2 linked regions of the Saccharomyces cerevisiae S288C genome follow. The protein of the gene in region 2 purifies or fractionates together with the protein of the main gene of each other region. This does not show direct contact. Each region holds a gene or a part of one and is shown on either strand. Other genes may lie near its edges.

Region 1 (3,423 bases), on a different chromosome or scaffold from region 2:
GCTTGTAAACATCCTGGACAGTAAGTATAGCAATAGGAATTTCATCATCTTGGAAAAGGGCAATTCTTGTGTCTGGTTTAATTTGGTTAGCAAATGCTTCATCAACATCTAATGTAATAGGGATGGTCCACAATGTGCCGTCTGCTAATCTCGAATCTGTAACAACAGAGGAGTAATCGTTTTCGTTCAAAAACCCAGTCAGAGGAGAAAACCCACCATTTAGAATCAATTCAATATCACATAGTTGTCTAGGAGTCAAGTTCCATACTAAAATGTCCGAAGATTGCGCTTCAGATAACAATTCATTCTTCTTTAACGCATCTCTAGCAATCAAGTCTTGTAGAATACCACCGTGAGGAGCAGGCATGTTAATTATACTTTATTCTTGTTATTATTATACTTTCTTAGTTCCTTTTCAATTGTTAAGAAACGATATCACAACTGTTACGACAGAGAGAGACCCAAGCTAGAGATCACAAGCTAAAAAAGAACCAAGTTTACATATATATATATATATATATATATATATATATATATATCCATATTCATATTTCTCGAGAAAGAGCCTCTATTTCTCATTGGTAAGTAACTTCATAAGAGACTAAGTTGTAAAACTGTGGCTTTGTTATACGGTGATTTCCTTTGGAGGTTGCTAAGGTTTATGGTGTTGAGTGCAGTGTGCACGACAGGGACCGCTAGAATGCGGTGAGTTACAAAATTACACGTGACTTTTCTGGTCACGTGACCTTTTTTTCTGTCAGCAATCCGTAGGATGCGCGTTGGCGCTACAAGTGTGTCATATCTGTACTATATTTGTACACTTATATGTAGTTGTGACAAAAGTCTCTGTTAGTACTAAATTAAACGATGTTATATCTGTGGACCCCCTCACCTTATACCACTACGTACATATCGTTGGAAAATCTAGATCAGAGGGTGGTAAATGAAGTGTAATAGTATTCATTTTTCTTATAAATCATCCCTTCCGTGATTTATACAAAAGAAGAGGAGAATATGCTGAATACTTGGTATATTACTCTACATTATACTCTTATCTTGACGGGTATTCTGAGCATCTTACTCAGTTTCAAGATCTTTTAATGTCCAAAAACATTTGAGCCGATCTAAATACTTCTGTGTTTTCATTAATTTATAAATTGTACTCTTTTAAGACATGGAAAGTACCAACATCGGTTGAAACAGTTTTTCATTTACTTATGGTTTATTGGTTTTTCCAGTGAATGATTATTTGTCGTTACCCTTTCGTAAAAGTTCAAACACGTTTTTAAGTATTGTTTAGTTGCTCTTTCGACATATATGATTATCCCTGCGCGGCTAAAGTTAAGGATGCAAAAAACATAAGACAACTGAAGTTAATTTACGTCAATTAAGTTTTCCAGGGTAATGATGTTTTGGGCTTCCACTAATTCAATAAGTATGTCATGAAATACGTTGTGAAGAGCATCCAGAAATAATGAAAAGAAACAACGAAACTGGGTCGGCCTGTTGTTTCTTTTCTTTACCACGTGATCTGCGGCATTTACAGGAAGTCGCGCGTTTTGCGCAGTTGTTGCAACGCAGCTACGGCTAACAAAGCCTAGTGGAACTCGACTGATGTGTTAGGGCCTAAAACTGGTGGTGACAGCTGAAGTGAACTATTCAATCCAATCATGTCATGGCTGTCACAAAGACCTTGCGGACCGCACGTACGAACACATACGTATGCTAATATGTGTTTTGATAGTACCCAGTGATCGCAGACCTGCAATTTTTTTGTAGGTTTGGAAGAATATATAAAGGTTGCACTCATTCAAGATAGTTTTTTTCTTGTGTGTCTATTCATTTTATTATTGTTTGTTTAAATGTTAAAAAAACCAAGAACTTAGTTTCAAATTAAATTCATCACACAAACAAACAAAACAAAATGGTTAGAGTTGCTATTAACGGTTTCGGTAGAATCGGTAGATTGGTTATGAGAATTGCTTTGCAAAGAAAGAACGTCGAAGTTGTTGCTTTGAACGATCCTTTCATCTCTAACGACTACTCCGCTTACATGTTCAAGTACGACTCTACTCACGGTAGATACGCTGGTGAAGTTTCCCACGATGACAAGCACATCATCGTTGATGGTCACAAGATCGCCACTTTCCAAGAAAGAGACCCAGCTAACTTGCCATGGGCTTCTCTAAACATTGACATCGCCATTGACTCCACTGGTGTTTTCAAGGAATTGGACACTGCTCAAAAGCACATTGACGCTGGTGCCAAGAAGGTTGTCATCACTGCTCCATCTTCCACCGCCCCAATGTTCGTCATGGGTGTTAACGAAGAAAAATACACTTCTGACTTGAAGATTGTTTCCAACGCTTCTTGTACCACCAACTGTTTGGCTCCATTGGCCAAGGTTATCAACGATGCTTTCGGTATTGAAGAAGGTTTGATGACCACTGTTCACTCCATGACCGCCACCCAAAAGACTGTTGACGGTCCATCCCACAAGGACTGGAGAGGTGGTAGAACCGCTTCCGGTAACATCATCCCATCCTCTACCGGTGCTGCTAAGGCTGTCGGTAAGGTCTTGCCAGAATTGCAAGGTAAGTTGACCGGTATGGCTTTCAGAGTCCCAACCGTCGATGTTTCCGTTGTTGACTTGACTGTCAAGTTGAACAAGGAAACCACCTACGATGAAATCAAGAAGGTTGTCAAGGCTGCCGCTGAAGGTAAGTTGAAGGGTGTCTTGGGTTACACTGAAGACGCTGTTGTCTCCTCTGACTTCTTGGGTGACTCTAACTCTTCCATCTTCGATGCTGCCGCTGGTATCCAATTGTCTCCAAAGTTCGTCAAGTTGGTTTCCTGGTACGACAACGAATACGGTTACTCTACCAGAGTTGTCGACTTGGTTGAACACGTTGCCAAGGCTTAAATTTAACTCCTTAAGTTACTTTAATGATTTAGTTTTTATTATTAATAATTCATGCTCATGACATCTCATATACACGTTTATAAAACTTAAATAGATTGAAAATGTATTAAAGATTCCTCAGGGATTCGATTTTTTTGGAAGTTTTTGTTTTTTTTTCCTTGAGATGCTGTAGTATTTGGGAACAATTATACAATCGAAAGATATATGCTTACATTCGACCGTTTTAGCCGTGATCATTATCCTATAGTAACATAACCTGAAGCATAACTGACACTACTATCATCAATACTTGTCACATGAGAACTCTGTGAATAATTAGGCCACTGAAATTTGATGCCTGAAGGACCGGCATCACGGATTTTCGATAAAGCACTTAGTATCACACTAATTGGCTTTTCGCCGCATATGGTGTTTCCGGTGATTTCCAAGTATTGTTTCCAAGCATCGTACCTTTCACCATTTGGAGTATCACTTAGCGTTTTCATCGCATATCTGTCCAT
Region 2 (7,958 bases):
CATAGGTTGTGAGACCGTACGTCTCAATCCAGGCTGATAGTTAGGATTGTAAACACCAATTGGTTGTGGCTGGTGCTGCATATACGGGAGAGGTAATTTATTCTGTTCATCTATGGGTAAGAGATATTGTTGCTGTTGTCGGTGCTGCTGTTGGTGCATTTCTCGAGGAGCGTTATTGAAGGTGGTTAAAGGTAACTGAACTGCGGTCCTAACTGGAATATTTCCAGGATGGTTGTTATAATTGCTCAAGAGATCACAATAGCTCGGAGAAGATGATAAAGACCTGCGCGTTTTATAATTATGAGCTTTGGTTCTGCCTCTCTCATTATTTTTAGACGGGTTAGATCTGCCATTTCCTACAGCAACTTTTTGTAAAGCATCTAATAGTTTCTGTGAAGGTCGAAATTTATGGAAGAAAGGATTTTCTGAAGGTCTCCTCAAACTTCCTTGATGAATATCCTTTTCCGTATAGTACGCAATAAGATGAAATGTTTCCAGCTTAGTGCTGTCGGTGGGATCCATATTGAATTTTAGAGAAAATGTTTTTTTCAGTAGTCCAGTATAAAAATACTTCCTATGAGCCCTCTCGAAGATATTATACTCAGGTACATTATGCAGCGGTAGATCGTGCGTGGAACCCAGCCTATTATACTCTCTATATACGAGAAATTTGCCTGAAATTCTTGAAGGAGACCAAGAAAAACCATCTGTCCATCTTTTGATGCCGGATTTCTCTTCGTTGAAAACAAAAATGTTTCCGGGGTTGACTAATTCAACCTTTTCTGCATCATATGGCCTCCGTTCGATGCATCTCAAATTTCCATTGAATACGCCCTGGAAAACAAGGGCTAGATCTTGCTCGTCGTCGATGTACCCATAACAGGTAGGGCTGATATCCATCATTCTTACGCTTACTCGTCGATCTCCTTTTCCTATCTATTGTTTGATTAATTATCTTAATTCGTGGTTCCCTTTTTTCTCGCTTTATTTGTTTGTTTTGTTGAAGAAGGGCTTACAAGAATGTACGTATTAAATAATAATTCATACAAATAAACAGGGAATGATACATAGTAGTTCTCCCGCAGCAGCTACGTATGAATTACCCGCCTACCCGGTACTATAAAGAAAGAATAAGTGGGCGTCGATTATGAAGATTTACTAACTGCAATTATCATTTTTTTGATTTTCCTCAGTCCCTTAGGTGCGTTTTTGTGTTAATGCCTATTTTTTTTTTCTAGGCTTTCTTCTTCACTTCCTCTTTCCTCTTGAATTTTGAGGAATATACGACCGAGAAAAAGACAGACTACTTAAAAAGTTGCCAGAGTGATTAAAGTTCCGGGAACAAGGCTAAAATACGTTTACAACATATTCTTCCTTTTTTTTCCACATAAAAAGGTTAATAGTCATAGTCATATGTTAGCGTGATTTCAACTTAAAATTAGAGATTATTAGATAATTTTTTTTTAAATGACGGCCAAGAAAGTGAAAGTCTAAAAGGAACGTTTATCGCTTAATTTCTCTCTGCCTCAGATTCATACGTTGTTAAGATCTTTAAAAGGATGGCCTTTGCAGGATACTGAGGTTTATGCTGGCGCGCCTGTGCGGATTTTCCAGATTCAAAAAGAAAGTTTTCTTTTTTTTTTACATGGGAACTGCGTAGCCGCGAAGCACTGCAGGCCTTTCAGAGCAATTTTTGGCGCTGCCTTTTAAAAACTTACATTAAGGTTCGCTATTGCCGAAACGGAAGAGGCGGAAATTTAAGTATTCGTTAATTTTACGGTGGCGGTACGGTATATTCTGCGTAAGCAATCTGCGGACGGCCGGATTATTAATCAATGTTTGAAAAAAAAAGATAGCAGAAGTGAAGATTTCTTATTTTAACAGCGATAAGGTATATACATGAGGGAAACGAAATATTAAGCGGCACAATATGTGTTTTTTCTATACAAGTACATTCCTTTTTACGTTAAGTATGTGGCGCCGGAAGGAAGTATGGTGCTTTTTTTTTCTTTAGGGCTTGTGCGTGTTCCGCTAGAAGCACATTTCTTTCTTCTTTGTCTGTATAACTACTGTTTCTTAGATCGATCAGTCTATCATCCCATACAACTGGTTCGAAATGACCGACCCTACGTGGAATGCTATTCAGTAGTTCCTGTAGTTCTGCATAGTATTCCAGGTCCTTTCCCTTTGGGAAGTTGTGCGTTCCGCAGGCATTAGAGTCGAAAGTTGTAGTTATCGGTAAGCTTTTACAGAATACTTCGACCATAATAGCCGCCTGTAGTTCCGACAACGGGAACGGGATGACCAACTGCGGGGTCAAGATAAAGGACAGCGTAGGATCTTTTACATAGATCATGTGCTCCCACAAATTGTGCAGATTGACAGACGAGTGCTTGTCGCCAGTAACACCCTCACCTAGCACTTCCAGTCTAACGGAGGGCTCTATAAATGGAAAGCTGTAATAATAGCCTGTGGCGAAAATAATGTAGTCTATATTCTGAAGTACTCTTCCATCAGATAAAGTAACTGAACGATTTTTCCAATCGGCACTGTCTATTGTTTGGACAGTCTCGATTAACTTGGCCTTCAGTTGATTGCTCGCAGGCTCTTTTATACTATTATATACTTTCTTTGCAACGGTAGTTAGTTGGTTGGCAATATCTTGGCCGGAACTGCCGTTTCCCACCACAATAACGACTTTTTCACGGGCAAACTCGCAGTTTTTGAAATCCTTAGAATGAAAGGCGCCCTTATTGTCGAACCATAGATCGAGACCTGCGATATTAGTTGGTAGTTTAGGGACACTGTAGTGACCAGACGCAACAATAACGAAGTCAAAATCCGATTTAGTAGTCCTTAGTTCGTCTTTAGATGTTATCTCCCATTGAGAGTTCTTCTTCTTTAAGTAGGTAACTTCGGTGCTGAAATGGATGCTGATAGCATCTTTGTTGGCAATGAACGTTTTGTAATAGGCTTTCAAGTATTCCCAAATGTTTCTTCGAGACGGATATAAAGGGACGTTTTCCTCGAAGGGAAAGCCGCTAAACTGCATTAACTTCTTTGATATATTGGTTTCCAAATGGTCATACATGACCCTCCCATCACTTTTTTGTTCTGGATAATGCCAGACACCGCCAATATCGTAATCCTTTACAAATATTTCTATTTCAAAATTTGGAAGACTTTGCGAGAAAACTCTTGCAGCTGCCAACCCTCCTGGCCCCCCACCTATGATTGCCAATCTTTTTTTGTCATTCACTGTCATGCCTAGTTACTTCTTGTTATTTCTCGCTTCCTGCTTGAATTTTCTGTATTATTGTATTTTCGACTTGTATAAAAACAGTGGCCCATTTAAATACAGTCCCAAATAACGACTGCGTTTTTGCAGTGGCATTTATCCTTGATATGAGGCTACAGGATTATCTTGCATAATGGCTTTTCTCGGCAAAAAGATGTCTGGCGCTTCCTATGTAAAGGTAATATCATGTGATTAAGAGTGAAAAGAGGAATTTAAAAGGTAGAAAAGGGTTCATGGAATCTTTCATAAAGCAGAACATTAATACTTGCCGCGTTGAAATGAGGTGCGATTTCGTGTTGTGGACGGGACATTAAATTCATCACTTATATAATTAAATATAACGTTATAGTAGATCGTCTCAAAACGGTATAACAACCCGCGCCCACCCTTAAATAGTATTACTTTTGTTCAAGATTAGCTCGAATGGTCGCTGGCAAACTGTTGAAGAACTAGATCGTTTCATGATTAACATCTTGGCGACGCAGAAGTTAATGATATAGAAATAGTGGACTATTTTGATTACTGAGGCTGTAGCCAATAAACGATAACATAAAGGGGGGGATATATAAACTTGTGTCAAAGACTAGTAACGTACGAGTGCTAAATATTATACATGTAATGTTAACGTAGTTTATCATTATACTCAGTGGGAACAAATAAAGGGAAGGGTATGAATGAGGAAGAAATACGAAAAATCCCGGATAAAAACAAAATAGATACAAATAGTATCAAATTTGTAATATTTGTCACCATCTTAATGGCAGGCGAGGGAGCTGTCATCTATCTCAGGACTATACGAAGTACACCAGCTGTAATTACCCCATATTGCCCCACACACGACAGCTAACATTAACCAACCATTATAAGTCATGAATACAAGCATGAGCATGAATGAGAATCCCACTTGCAAACCATATAGAATACTATTGGACACTTTGTCGGCTTGGTTGATCTTGGTCAGAGATCTATTTGGTAACAATACTCTCTGGGATAATTGTCTCTTATGGACACAGTACTTTAAGTACTCATAGAGGTAGGCTAGACCAAAAATTGCTAAACAACTTAAAATCAGTCCAGGCAGGGTCTTGATATGCCACCATTCAAAGACGACACACGTATTCTTGTATGACCACGAAAATAGCATATTCATCGAACAGGTATCATCTCCATCTCCCATATGCATATCACTGTGGTCGTGGCCCGCATTTCCTTCCATCTTGTGATTCATGCTATCCATCTTTTTTGAGTATCCAATTAACGAAGACGTTACCAGCTGATTGAAGGTTCTCAAAGTGACTGTACTCCATGTTTTCTTATCATCCATGTAGTTATTTTTCAAACTGCAAATTCAAGAAAAAGCCACGCGTGTGCACCTTTTTTTTCCCCTTCCAGTGCATTATGCAATAGACAGCACGAGTCTTTGAAAAAGTAACTTATAAAACTGTATCAATTTTTAAACCTAAATAGATTCATAAACTATTCGTTAATATAAAGTGTTCTAAACTATGATGAAAAAATAAGCAGAAAAGACTAATAATTCTTAGTTAAAAGCACTTTACAACTTGTCACCGTGGTGGAAGTTTTCACCGGCGTAGACAGCCTTGTCACCCAATTCTTCTTCGATTCTCAACAATTGGTTCAACTTAGCCAATCTTTCGGATCTAGCTGGAGCACCAGTCTTGATTTGACCAGTTCTCAAACCGACAACCAAGTCAGCAATGAAAGTGTCTTCAGTTTCACCAGATCTGTGGGAAACCATAACACCCCAGTTGGCAGCGAAAGAGTCTTGAGCAGCCTTGATGGATTCAGACAAGGTACCGATTTGGTTAACCTTCAACAACAAAGCGTCAGCAGCCTTCTTTTCGATGGCGGTAGCAATTCTAGCTGGGTTGGTGACAGTCAAGTCATCAGCAACAATTTGGATACCAGCGGTCTTGAAGAAGTGAGACCAAGCTTCCCAGTCATCTTCAGCAAATGGATCTTCGATGGAGACAATTGGGTATCTCTTCATCAAGGAGTGGTACATGTCAGCTAATTCGACACCAGTCAACCACTTGGATTTGTCAGATTCTGGGTTCTTGAAGTCCAAGTCGTACTTACCGTCCTTGAAGAATTCAGAGGAAGCACAGTCCAAACCGATCTTGACCTTACCGTCGTGACCAGCAGCCTTGATAGCGTCAACAATCAAGTCCAAAGCTTCTTCAGCGGTTTGAATGTTTGGAGCAACACCACCTTCGTCACCGACGTTACCGGCAGAAGCACCGTATCTCTTCTTGGTCAAAGACTTCAAGTTGTGGTAAACTTCGGAACCAATTCTCATGGCTTCAGCGAAGGTCTTAGCACCAGTTGGAGCAATCATGAATTCTTGCAAAGCCAAAGCACCACCAGCGTGGGAACCACCGTTCAAAACGTTCAAGAATGGAACTGGCAAAACGTATGGAGAGGTCTTGGACTTAGACAAGTCAGCCAAATGTTGGTACAATGGGACGTTCTTTTCAGCAGCAGCGGCTCTAGCAGCGGCCATGGAGACACCCAAGATAGCGTTAGCACCCAACTTGGACTTGTTGGCGGTACCATCCAAAGACAACAAGAAGTCATCGACGGCCTTTTGGTCCTTAACATCTAGGTTGGCCTTGACGAAAGCAGCAGCAATGACGTTGTTGACGTTGTTGACAGCGTTCATAACACCCTTACCCATCCACTTGGATTTGTCTTCATCTCTCATTTCCAAAGCTTCGTGGACACCGGTGGAGGCACCAGATGGAACAATGGATCTGAAAACACCCTTTTCGGTGGTTAATTCGACTTCGACGGTTGGGTTACCACGGGAGTCGTAGACGGATCTAGCGTAAACTTTAGAGACAGCCATTATTATTGTATGTTATAGTATTAGTTGCTTGGTGTTATGAAAGAAACTAAGAAAAGAAAAATAAAATAAAAATAAAAGATTGAGACAAGGGAAGAAAAGATACAAAATAAGAATTAATTACAATTGCGTTTGCTATAAATACGTTTTTAACAATCAACTCTGGTAGGAAGATAATGCTTTTTTTTTTTATATATGCTTGGTGCCACTTGTCACATACAATTCTACAACCTTCGACAAAAATCCAAATGATAGTAAGATCAAAGCCAGAAAGCAATGGAGAAAAAAAATTAATGAACCACGATGAACCAAATGATCAATACAACCAAAGAAACTACCCTAGTGAGGTGTATGCTGACTTGGTATCACACTTCATGAATTTTGCATATGGCAAAGTCCACGAAAGTGGGCTTCAGAAAAAAGGCGTGCGGTGTGTAGATGTATCAATTAGTGGATGCCAGTTTTGGAACGGGATTCCACTTTCCGCAAGTTGGTGCACGTCGTTAGTGACATAACGCCGCGTTCATCTTTGGGAAGAAGCAGATGCTGAGCGAGGAGGTACTATAGAGTAAAGAACCCTTTCTATACCCGCAGCGTCGACACTTGAACTATCATAAAAGTCGAATTTTTCAGTACTTAACTCTTGAGTAAAGTTTATGAGACACTTCCGAAAAATGCTGGACGCGTTGCTAATGTATTCAATCAGCTTCTGAATTAATTCCAGGGCGGCATCTTCTTGGTAACCAACATCTTCCTGACCGCCATTGTTTGTACGATAGCCTTCGTTTAGTGTTTTCATCATCCCGCTTTTGTGTTTCTCATATAGTACGGGGTCCAGTTGACATAATTTTGCTCTCATAGATTTGATGAACTTGCAAAACTTATATACAATGTCAAATATTTGTAACTGTAGTGGAATCAAGTCAGACAAGCAACGATTTGTCATTATATTTGTTAATCCACCTTCTAGCTCATTTTGGATGGCAACGGCAAGAGTAGGATTTCTGTAGCACTTTTCTAATGAGTATACCTCTTTATCAATTACGTTTTGGTTGAAATATTCCATGATGGTTTTAATGAAGTGGTTCATCTTAGCATGCAGCACTCTCGTTGCCCTTACTATCCTCCTCTTCACAGTGTGCGAATAGCCTCTGTATTTCCAGCTGGGTGTTTTGTTTAAGTCCATCCAAGTCTCATCCAAAAGCCTTGAGTGGTATTGTAAAACTAGTTGGTAGCGCAGGATTATTTGGTATTTTATCATGCATGTCCTACTAATAATAATATTCAATGGATAAGGTATGTTGATGTCAAATTTTAAATGATAAATTGCGCTTTTTGGAGTATATAGTTCTAGATTGGATCCATGGTAGGCTCCCGTTCGTTCTTTGCTTAATTCATCAAAAAGAATGGCATTCATATTCTTGAAATTATTCGCGTGCATCAATGGGTCGCTGTCGTCATTTGCTGAGTTATTCTCAGGTACTTCTGGATAAATTTGGAGGTAGTGCGATAAGACTTGTGGAAGTGTTTCTGTATCGAACTGTATCATCAGGAGTTGCCTCATCAGGTTGTTTGGATTTTCGGATTGTCTCTCTAACTCAAAATTTTGTAGCAGCTTGTCATAGTTTGCATTATTATCATTCCTGTAGTGTTTGGTCAACTCACCCATATTTTTTGTTAGAAACTTTAAAACATTATGACCAGATTGATACCCAAGAAAAATTTGTTGCAAATGTTTTAATACATTGATCAAATCGTAACCTTGAAAAAATAGCTTTAAAAATATTTCATTGG

Evidence for each region. Proteins that work in one complex are often made in the same cells at the same time.
Region 1: the proteins of ENO2 (region 2) and TDH2 purify together in Saccharomyces cerevisiae (affinity purification with mass spectrometry; 2 studies listed by BioGRID, with this or other methods). This does not show direct contact.

The regions. Positions count from the first base shown.
Region 1 is NC_001142.9:453,183-456,605, reverse strand, and holds TDH2 (glyceraldehyde-3-phosphate dehydrogenase (phosphorylating) TDH2), read left to right. Parts: upstream 1-1,924; coding exon 1,925-2,923; downstream 2,924-3,423. Other genes in the region: MET3 (sulfate adenylyltransferase), read right to left, coding at 1-367; MHO1 (Mho1p), read right to left, coding at 3,160-3,423. UniProt on the Saccharomyces cerevisiae protein: Glyceraldehyde-3-phosphate dehydrogenase (GAPDH) involved in glycolysis and gluconeogenesis. Catalyzes the reaction of glyceraldehyde-3-phosphate to 1,3 bis-phosphoglycerate.
Region 2 is NC_001140.6:449,536-457,493, reverse strand, and holds ENO2 (phosphopyruvate hydratase ENO2), read right to left. Parts: upstream 6,168-7,958; coding exon 4,854-6,167; downstream 1-4,853. Other genes in the region: ROF1 (Rof1p), read right to left, coding at 1-903; FMO1 (N,N-dimethylaniline monooxygenase), read right to left, coding at 1,967-3,265; YHR175W-A (uncharacterized protein), read right to left, coding at 3,787-3,936; CTR2 (low-affinity Cu transporter), read right to left, coding at 4,053-4,622; YHR173C (uncharacterized protein), read left to right, coding at 6,341-6,679; gamma-tubulin-complex subunit SPC97, read right to left, coding at 6,688-7,958.